3 linked regions of the Saccharomyces cerevisiae S288C genome follow. Changing the gene in region 3 together with the main gene of any one other region gives a genetic interaction. Each region holds a gene or a part of one and is shown on either strand. Other genes may lie near its edges.

Region 1 (3,758 bases), on a different chromosome or scaffold from region 3:
AGCATCAAGGATGCATTACATAAGATGGACAAAAACGTCTTGGAATGATGTATTTAGAAAGAAAAGAAAAGTGGAAGCATAAATAGTGCATATAGATATAGGTATATATATGAATTTTTTAATAATAATATTAATGATGTTTTTTTATCTTAAGAACATTAAAAGTAAGCGGCGCTAACGGAATAATTAGAAACAATGTGGTAAAGAACGGGGGTGAAAACTCATAAAACCAAGTTATAAAGTTCTGCCAAAGCACGGAATATCAAAGGAATCTCAATAATTCCGGCAGCACCCTTTGATTTCGAGGACGATTGGCTGGACGAAGTAGCAGATGCGGCAGATTTTAGCAAGCTCGTTTCGCTAGCAGAAGGGGAGGAGGAAGATGCCTTTGAAGTCGAGGATGATGATTCAGAAGATGAAGAAGCGGAAGATGAAGATGAAGAGGAAGAAGAGGATGAAGAGGAGGTGTCGTCGTCTTCTTCGTCGTCATCGTCCTTAGCATCACAACTTTGTTGGGTGGCGATTCCGGTTCCCATAGGAGAACCTGCTCCAGATGTGAAGTAAGCAGAAGCAGCACTTGGCATAGCAGGCAAAGTGTTATTAGCTTCCCAGACACCCTTTTCATAATCAGGACATGTAGAATAGTTGTTGGAAGTACTGTAACCACCATTGCCTTCTGGGTTGGATACTTTGCTGTATTCATTTTTCAAGTTTTCAAAATCTGTCAATTTAGTGACCTTGTCACCATCAATTTGAACGAGCCCGTAATTGTTAGTTTCATTGGAATATTCGTAGACTAGCCCACCGGAGAATACAGAAGACATTTGAGTGGAATAGATAGCTTCAATTTCTGTGAATGGACGAGAGCTCTTGACTTGGTTACAACCAAATTCACTTAAGAAGACAGGAACGGAGTAATCTTGATATAGCTTCATCTTGGTGGAATAACCCGATACCACAAATGAAGATTCACCACACCAAGAATAGTCATTAACACCAAACATGTCGATTCTAGCGTCAGCTTCATCACCACAGTTAAAGTATTCAGCAGCCAATTGTCTGTTAGCGACGATATCAGCAGCCGAGTAACCTACCGGAATTTGTCTGTATTTTCTAGCCTTGATGTATTTCTTCATGTCCCTGACCACTGCCTTGACATAAGTAGCAGTGTTGGTAGTATTAACACTATTGATGACCTCGTTACCAGCGAAAAAACCTAGAACATTGTCGTAATCAGCAAAGGTATCAATGGTGGCAAAGACATTTTGTAAGTAGTCAGCGTTATAGGAGCAGGCTGGATCGTAACGAGAAATAGCACTCGTGGGGGTATTGACATCCAGGATCAAGTATATACCGTTCTCCTGCAATAGTTTCATACAATGGGAATGATCTTGCGAGTTATCCACAGTATAAACTCTGACAGTATTTATCCCTAGATCTTTCAGAACGGGGACGTCTCTGTCACAGACAGATGCGTCTGCTAAGGGATCAGTCAAGTTAGAAGAACCACCAGGCTGGTAATCAACACCACGGATATAAAACCTTTCACCTGATTCCGAATTAAAAAATGCATTGCCTTTAATTTCAATGGATGGTGTGGAACTGTTACTGCTGCTAGCAGCCTGAGCCAAACCAGCACTTAAAACGAAGGCACTTGTAAGAGAACGTAGTAACATAGCTATTTAGAGCTGTGTGTGTAGCGAGTGATATATAATATGTTTGTTACAGCCCACTGTTTACTTTTATATACGAAATGCAACACTGTCAACAAATCAGTTCAGGGACCTTCCTATTTATAGTATAAGCAAAATAAAAGTGAAAAATTTCCTGCGGAGTTTTTTTTCTCGAGAAATTGTGAACAAAAGAAAGCAAAGACACAGAAGATGATAAGAGAGAGAAACAACGAAGAAAGAACAACAATGTTGGGGTTCACCCGAGAGATATTGACATACTGACCTTAGAAAAGGCATTACTGAGGCTACTGACTAAAGCGCGTTACATAAATGCATAGTATATTTCTTGTTGTATACGCAGCGGCCAACTAGTGGCAGCAAGAATGTAATGAACGATTCATCTGCAGGTTTGGAGGCCGCAACTAGATCAAAACGTAAATAGCGGGTGAAGTGTTCTGGACGTTAGAAGTAACGTCCGCAGATCGAAGCTAAACACGAGATTAGATTTCGGGTAACGGAATTGTGATAATTAAGAAAGACCAGACTATGTGAAAAGGCCACGTAAATGATAGAGCACACATTAGCAACTATAATAGACTAGTTTTCGCATCGCTGGAAGTTCTCGATATTGAATATCACTTCCAAGAACGCAAACTTAGAATGGTCCGGATTCTTCCCATAATTTTGAGCGCCCTATCTTCGAAATTAGTGGCGAGTACAATATTGCATTCATCCATACACTCAGTGCCATCTGGAGGCGAAATCATATCTGCAGAAGATCTTAAAGAACTTGAAATTTCAGGGAATTCGATCTGCGTTGATAATCGTTGCTATCCTAAGATATTTGAACCAAGACACGATTGGCAGCCCATACTGCCAGGTCAAGAACTCCCCGGTGGTTTGGACATTAGAATAAACATGGACACAGGTTTAAAAGAGGCAAAACTAAATGATGAGAAGAATGTCGGTGATAATGGTAGCCATGAGTTAATTGTATCTTCAGAAGACATGAAAGCATCGCCTGGTGACTATGAATTTTCCAGTGATTTCAAAGAAATGAGAAACATCATAGATTCTAACCCGACTTTATCTTCACAGGACATTGCCAGATTGGAGGATAGTTTTGATAGAATAATGGAATTTGCGCATGATTACAAGCACGGCTACAAAATTATTACCCATGAATTCGCCCTCTTGGCCAACCTTAGTCTCAATGAAAATTTGCCGTTAACATTGAGAGAGCTCAGTACTAGAGTCATTACCAGCTGCTTGAGAAACAATCCTCCTGTAGTCGAGTTCATTAATGAAAGTTTTCCAAATTTTAAAAGCAAAATCATGGCCGCTCTGTCAAATTTGAATGATTCTAACCACAGATCCTCTAATATCCTAATAAAAAGATACTTGTCCATTTTAAACGAATTACCTGTCACATCCGAAGATCTTCCTATATACTCTACGGTTGTTTTACAAAATGTATATGAAAGAAACAACAAGGACAAACAGTTACAAATAAAAGTCCTGGAGTTGATCAGCAAAATTTTGAAGGCCGACATGTACGAAAATGACGATACAAATCTAATTTTGTTCAAAAGAAATGCTGAGAATTGGTCGTCAAATCTGCAAGAGTGGGCAAACGAGTTCCAAGAGATGGTCCAGAACAAAAGTATAGATGAACTACATACAAGAACGTTTTTTGACACCCTTTACAACTTGAAGAAAATTTTCAAAAGTGACATCACGATCAACAAAGGGTTTTTGAATTGGTTAGCGCAACAATGTAAAGCCAGGCAATCTAACTTGGACAATGGGCTCCAAGAGAGAGATACTGAACAAGACTCATTTGATAAGAAACTTATCGACAGCAGACACTTGATCTTTGGCAACCCCATGGCTCATAGAATAAAAAATTTCAGAGATGAACTCTGATTTCACTGTCATTGCATATATAGTTTAATATTAATAATATTTTTTTCAATTAATATTTCGTGAATCTTATTAGAGATATATTATATATCCGTGTCTAATTTTTAGTTACTTCATCCAAAAACGTCCCGTCGTTGGCCAGTCTATTTCTAAATTTGTCCC
Region 2 (3,758 bases), on a different chromosome or scaffold from region 3:
ATAGGTGCGAGAGTCTTTCTTCTCATCACTCGGACTTCTCCTATAAGTAGATTTATTACGTTTTGATTCCTGTTGTTCTTCATACATAGAATGTATGTCTGAAAACAGATCAGCAACTGTCATATGTATATATCGATGACGTGCGTAGCGTAAAAATTTGTATTCGCCAGATAGACCTCTCATAATGAATTGGCATGCTACCTTGTTATTGATAGGAATGCCATTGTTTTTTAGTCTGTCAAGAATGTTTGTGACTTCTGCTTCAAATGCATCTGCAGGTGTACTTCCATTATAATGCAAATTTGCTAGGGTCGTAATGTCATTTACCTCTTGAGTATCAGACTGCATTTTGTTAATGCTTTTGGAAAGAATTTTCATGATATCTGTATAATCAACAGATAAGATGTCTTTAACCCAGGTGGGTAAGAATTGAGATAGAGCAAATAGTTGAAAGGTGTGACATAAGAAGGTGAGTTCGTCATCAGTCATCTGACGTACGGCTTTTCTTGTTGCTGTCGGAATAATATCACCGAGATTCGAATTTTGTAAAAATTTGATGTATATTTTAACCCAATTTAGAAAGTCATTAGGTGAGGTTAAGATTGGCGGTGGTCTGACATGTTGATTAGTGGATGTCATATTAGACTTTGCTGAGGATGAATCAGGAAATGAATTACCTGACTCAGGTGACGGGGTGTTCAAATGTGTTCCAACATATTGTGGATATTGTGTAAACTGTGATTGTGCTCCAGGTGGAGCGTACATAGGTGACATTTGATAAGGTGGATACGGCATCAAAGATGGGTGCCCGTATACTGGCCAACCAGAAATATTGGCTTGTTGGGGAGTCATCATTCGCTGCTGTGGGTACGGCCCATTTTGTGGCAATGGTACTTGAGCAGCTTGAGGAGAGGCATGATGATGGTTCTCTGGAACAGCAGCTGAGGGAGGTGTTGTTGGCTGTTGAGAATTAGCCTGAGTGAAAACCTTCTCACATTCTTCTGTTTTGGAAGCTGAAATGTCTAACGGATCTTGAGTTGTTTGGACTTCTTTAGAAGTAACCGAAGCACAGGCGCTACCATGAGAAATGGGTGAATGTTGAGATAATTGTTGGGATTCCATTGTTGATAAAGGCTATAATATTAGGTATACAGAATATACTAGAAGTTCTCCTCGAGGGTCAGGAATCCCCATAATGGAATCTATATTTCTATATACCAATATTACGATTATTCCTCATTCTGTTTTATATGTTTCATTATCCTATTACATTATCAATCCTTGCACTTCAGCTTCCTCTAACTTCGATGACAGCTTCTCATAACTTATGTCATCATCTTAACACCGTATATGATAATATATTGATAATATAACTATTAGTTGATAGACGATAGTGGATTTTTATTCCAACACTATGTGTGTATTGTGTGTGCGTGTAATATAATCATTTCTAGTCATCTCTAGTCAAAGTAACTTATAAAAGCCTAAAAAAGGAGGATTTAACATGAATTGTCGGTCCTATAGTGTAGTGGTTATCACTTTCGGTTTTGATCCGGACAACCCCGGTTCGAATCCGGGTAGGACCTCTTTTTATTTTTACTCTAACAAATCAACATTGATATTTTTTGTTGATGTGTTAGAGTGGAGCCAACGATGCTCTTAAGATATACACTTTAGTACTTTTGAAGCTCTTACAGTTTTTTGATGTCGGAGAAGGCTTATACATATTGTTATTTTCCCTCTACAGGAAAGAAGGTGAACGTTTAGTTTTTATCAAGGCGCCGAGTAAATTTTATAATATCGAGGCGAGGGAAAAACAAAGCAACGAGAAAGGAAGCTCAAAGTTGGGATTTACATCATTTCTTTAAAAAGCATCATTGGCTTCTCTCCAATTGTTCAATAAACGCAGACTAATAGAAATTGAAGTCATTTTCCGGAGAAATATAAAATATTTTCTGCAACTAAGCTATACTCGATTTCTTTTAAGTTTCTCCAGAACCAATAAAAAGTAATATCTTAAACTGTTTCTTTCTCATTTTTTCCCCGAATTCCATTAAAGAAGATAAGAAACAAGTCTAAGTGCTACTATATCTGATGTCTGAACAGAATTCAGTAGTAAATGCTGAAAAAGGGGATGGCGAAATATCTTCAAATGTAGAGACTGCTTCTTCAGTCAATCCGTCTGTGAAACCACAGAATGCTATTAAAGAAGAAGCTAAAGAGACAAATGGTGAAGATCAAAAATGCAAAGGGCCAGAAAACGCTGGCAGTACGGCAGAAACAAAAGAAACAAGTAACGACGCTACCAACGGAATGAAAACGCCCGAAGAAACGGAAGATACAAATGACAAACGCCATGACGATGAAGGTGAAGATGGAGATGAAGATGAAGATGAAGATGAAGATGAAGATGAAGACAATGGGGACGAGGATGATGAGGACGTGGATAGCAGTAGTTCCGAAACCAGTTCCGAAGACGGGGAAGATTCTGAATCAGTCTCAGGGGAAAGTACTGAGAGTAGCTCTGGAGAAGATGAAGAATCTGATGAAAGCGATGGAAATACATCAAACAGCTCCTCTGGTGATGAAAGCGGGTCAGAAGAAGAAGAAGAAGAAGAAGAAGAAGAAGAAGAAGAGGAAAATGCTGGCGAACCAGCTATCGCTCATCAAGATAGTGTTCCCACCAACGATTCTACTGCCCCAAGGTCTACCCATACGAGGAACATATCACTATCTTCAAATGGTTCGAACACAAACTCAACCATAATTTTAGTGAAAACTACGTTGGAGACAATTTTAAATGATAAGGACATTAAAAAGAATTCGAATGCTCAGAAGGCTATCGAAAGGACATTACAAAAATTTAAGGAATTTGATCCGCAAACCACGAATAACCCACATTACGTGGATTCAATACTAGTATTCGAAGCACTAAGGGCAAGCTGTCGTACCAAATCCTCCAAAGTTCAAAGTTTGGCTTTAGATTGCCTGTCAAAATTGTTTTCTTTTAGATCGCTAGACGAGACCCTGTTAGTGAATCCACCCGATTCTTTAGCCTCTAATGATCAACGACAAGATGCTGCCGATGGAATAACGCCGCCTCCAAAACAAAAAATTATAGACGCTGCAATTGATACTATTTCAGACTGTTTTCAAGGTGAAGGCACTGATGACCGTGTGGAACTACAAATCGTTAGAGCTTTATCTAGTTGCATTTTAGAAGAGGATTCAAGTTCTTTATGCCACGGTGCTTCCTTGCTAAAGGCTATCAGAACAATCTACAACGTTTTCGTCTTTTCGTTGAACCCATCCAATCAAGGTATTGCACAGGCGACCTTGACACAAATTATTAGTTCGGTGTATGATAAAATCGATCTCAAACAAAGTACCTCTTCAGCAGTATCCTTATCGACAAAAAATCATCAACAACAATCCGCCATAGAACTTTCCGAGGCTTCTGAAAATGCAGAAACGCCGGCTCCTTTAACTCTGGAAAATATGGATAAGTTGAATGACGATGAGGAAAGACTAATGGACGCTCAACAGCCTGATTCTATCGCCATAACTAACCAAGATCTAGCTGTTAAAGATGCGTTCTTAGTGTTTAGAGTCATGGCGAAAATATGTGCTAAACCTTTGGAAACAGAACTCGACATGAGGTCACATGCCGTCAGGTCAAAGCTTTTATCTCTTCACATCATTTACTCTATTATCAAAGATCATATTGACGTATTCCTTTCCCACAACATTTTTCTACC
Region 3 (3,758 bases):
AGACGTTTAGAAGCCACCTTTTACGAGCACCACAAATTGTTTTAAAAAGAATGTCCTCTTCCATCGATATCAGTAAGATCAACTCTTGGAACAAAGAGTTTCAATCCGACTTAACCCATCAATTGGCAACCACTGTCCTTAAGAATTATAATGCCGATGATGCACTGTTGAACAAGACTAGACTGCAAAAGCAAGATAACAGGGTTTTCAACACTGTTGTCTCTACTGATTCCACTCCAGTCACCAACCAAAAAAGCTCTGGTAGATGTTGGTTGTTTGCCGCTACCAATCAACTGCGCTTGAATGTTCTTTCTGAATTGAACTTAAAAGAATTCGAACTGTCCCAAGCTTACTTGTTCTTTTACGATAAGTTGGAAAAGGCCAACTATTTCTTGGACCAAATCGTCTCCTCGGCTGATCAAGACATCGACTCACGTCTCGTGCAATACTTGTTAGCAGCTCCAACAGAAGACGGTGGCCAATACAGCATGTTTTTGAACCTAGTCAAGAAGTATGGCCTTATCCCCAAAGATTTATACGGGGATCTACCTTATTCTACTACTGCGTCCAGAAAATGGAATTCTCTGTTGACTACTAAACTGAGAGAATTTGCCGAGACTCTAAGAACAGCTTTGAAAGAGCGTTCTGCCGATGATTCCATAATTGTCACTCTGAGAGAGCAAATGCAAAGAGAAATCTTCAGGTTGATGTCGTTGTTCATGGACATACCTCCAGTGCAACCAAACGAGCAATTCACTTGGGAATACGTTGACAAAGACAAGAAAATCCACACTATCAAATCGACTCCGTTAGAATTTGCCTCCAAATACGCAAAATTGGACCCTTCCACGCCAGTCTCATTGATCAATGATCCAAGACACCCATATGGTAAATTAATTAAGATCGATCGTTTAGGAAACGTCCTTGGCGGAGATGCCGTGATTTACTTAAATGTTGACAATGAAACACTATCTAAATTGGTTGTTAAGAGATTACAAAATAACAAAGCTGTCTTTTTTGGATCTCACACTCCAAAGTTCATGGACAAGAAAACTGGTGTCATGGATATTGAATTGTGGAACTATCCTGCCATCGGCTATAATTTACCTCAGCAAAAGGCATCGCGTATTAGATACCATGAAAGTTTGATGACTCATGCTATGTTGATCACTGGCTGCCACGTCGATGAAACGTCTAAATTACCACTTCGCTACCGCGTTGAAAATTCCTGGGGTAAAGACTCCGGTAAAGACGGATTATACGTGATGACTCAAAAGTACTTCGAGGAGTACTGCTTTCAAATTGTGGTCGATATCAATGAATTGCCAAAAGAGCTGGCTTCAAAATTCACCTCAGGTAAGGAAGAGCCGATTGTCTTGCCCATCTGGGACCCAATGGGTGCTTTGGCCAAATAAATAGTTTCAGCAGCTCTGATGTAGATACACGTATCTCGACATGTTTTATTTTTACTATACATACATAAAAGAAATAAAAAATGATAACGTGTATATTATTATTCATATAATCAATGAGGGTCATTTTCTGAAACGCAAAAAACGGTAAATGGAAAAAAAATAAAGATAGAAAAAGAAAACAAACAAAGGAAAGGTTAGCATATTAAATAACTGAGCTGATACTTCAACAGCATCGCTGAAGAGAACAGTATTGAAACCGAAACATTTTCTAAAGGCAAACAAGGTACTCCATATTTGCTGGACGTGTTCTTTCTCTCGTTTCATATGCATAATTCTGTCATAAGCCTGTTCTTTTTCCTGGCTTAAACATCCCGTTTTGTAAAAGAGAAATCTATTCCACATATTTCATTCATTCGGCTACCATACTAAGGATAAACTAATCCCGTTGTTTTTTGGCCTCGTCACATAATTATAAACTACTAACCCATTATCAGATGAAAGTGAGGAAATATATTACTTTATGCTTTTGGTGGGCCTTTTCAACATCCGCTCTTGTATCATCACAACAAATTCCATTGAAGGACCATACGTCACGACAGTATTTTGCTGTAGAAAGCAATGAAACATTATCCCGCTTGGAGGAAATGCATCCAAATTGGAAATATGAACATGATGTTCGAGGGCTACCAAACCATTATGTTTTTTCAAAAGAGTTGCTAAAATTGGGCAAAAGATCATCATTAGAAGAGTTACAGGGGGATAACAACGACCACATATTATCTGTCCATGATTTATTCCCGCGTAACGACCTATTTAAGAGACTACCGGTGCCTGCTCCACCAATGGACTCAAGCTTGTTACCGGTAAAAGAAGCTGAGGATAAACTCAGCATAAATGATCCGCTTTTTGAGAGGCAGTGGCACTTGGTCAATCCAAGTTTTCCTGGCAGTGATATAAATGTTCTTGATCTGTGGTACAATAATATTACAGGCGCAGGGGTCGTGGCTGCCATTGTTGATGATGGCCTTGACTACGAAAATGAAGACTTGAAGGATAATTTTTGCGCTGAAGGTTCTTGGGATTTCAACGACAATACCAATTTACCTAAACCAAGATTATCTGATGACTACCATGGTACGAGATGTGCAGGTGAAATAGCTGCCAAAAAAGGTAACAATTTTTGCGGTGTCGGGGTAGGTTACAACGCTAAAATCTCAGGCATAAGAATCTTATCCGGTGATATCACTACGGAAGATGAAGCTGCGTCCTTGATTTATGGTCTAGACGTAAACGATATATATTCATGCTCATGGGGTCCCGCTGATGACGGAAGACATTTACAAGGCCCTAGTGACCTGGTGAAAAAGGCTTTAGTAAAAGGTGTTACTGAGGGAAGAGATTCCAAAGGAGCGATTTACGTTTTTGCCAGTGGAAATGGTGGAACTCGTGGTGATAATTGCAATTACGACGGCTATACTAATTCCATATATTCTATTACTATTGGGGCTATTGATCACAAAGATCTACATCCTCCTTATTCCGAAGGTTGTTCCGCCGTCATGGCAGTCACGTATTCTTCAGGTTCAGGCGAATATATTCATTCGAGTGATATCAACGGCAGATGCAGTAATAGCCACGGTGGAACGTCTGCGGCTGCTCCATTAGCTGCCGGTGTTTACACTTTGTTACTAGAAGCCAACCCAAACCTAACTTGGAGAGACGTACAGTATTTATCAATCTTGTCTGCGGTAGGGTTAGAAAAGAACGCTGACGGAGATTGGAGAGATAGCGCCATGGGGAAGAAATACTCTCATCGCTATGGCTTTGGTAAAATCGATGCCCATAAGTTAATTGAAATGTCCAAGACCTGGGAGAATGTTAACGCACAAACCTGGTTTTACCTGCCAACATTGTATGTTTCCCAGTCCACAAACTCCACGGAAGAGACATTAGAATCCGTCATAACCATATCAGAAAAAAGTCTTCAAGATGCTAACTTCAAGAGAATTGAGCACGTCACGGTAACTGTAGATATTGATACAGAAATTAGGGGAACTACGACTGTCGATTTAATATCACCAGCGGGGATAATTTCAAACCTTGGCGTTGTAAGACCAAGAGATGTTTCATCAGAGGGATTCAAAGACTGGACATTCATGTCTGTAGCACATTGGGGTGAGAACGGCGTAGGTGATTGGAAAATCAAGGTTAAGACAACAGAAAATGGACACAGGATTGACTTCCACAGTTGGAGGCTGAAGCTCTTTGGGGAATCCATTGATTCATCTAAAACAGAAACTTTCGTCTTTGGAAACGATAAAGAGGAGGTTGAACCAGCTGCTA

What was found.
Region 1: of KEX2 (region 3) and GAS5, extra expression of one rescues a mutant of the other (dosage rescue), as found in Saccharomyces cerevisiae (one study listed by BioGRID).
Region 2: of KEX2 (region 3) and SEC7, changing one enhances a phenotype caused by changing the other (phenotypic enhancement), as found in Saccharomyces cerevisiae (one study listed by BioGRID).

The regions. Positions count from the first base shown.
Region 1 is NC_001147.6:266,105-269,862, reverse strand, and holds GAS5 (1,3-beta-glucanosyltransferase), read right to left. Parts: upstream 1,677-3,758; coding exon 222-1,676; downstream 1-221. Other genes in the region: YOL029C (uncharacterized protein), read left to right, coding at 1-48; SIL1 (Sil1p), read left to right, coding at 2,334-3,599; OPI10 (Opi10p), read right to left, coding at 3,694-3,758. UniProt on the Saccharomyces cerevisiae protein: Splits internally a 1,3-beta-glucan molecule and transfers the newly generated reducing end (the donor) to the non-reducing end of another 1,3-beta-glucan molecule (the acceptor) forming a 1,3-beta linkage, resulting in the elongation of 1,3-beta-glucan chains in the cell wall.
Region 2 is NC_001136.10:800,559-804,316, reverse strand, and holds the start of SEC7 (Arf family guanine nucleotide exchange factor SEC7), read left to right. Parts: upstream 1-2,094; coding exon 2,095-3,758. Other genes in the region: YDR170W-A (gag protein), read right to left, coding at 1-1,122. UniProt on the Saccharomyces cerevisiae protein: Guanine exchange factor that acts as an activator of ARF1 at the trans-Golgi network and is thus involved in vesicular budding and traffic between compartments of the Golgi apparatus.
Region 3 is NC_001146.8:200,519-204,276, forward strand, and holds the start of KEX2 (kexin KEX2), read left to right. Parts: upstream 1-1,909; coding exon 1,910-3,758. Other genes in the region: LAP3 (bleomycin hydrolase), read left to right, coding at 51-1,415.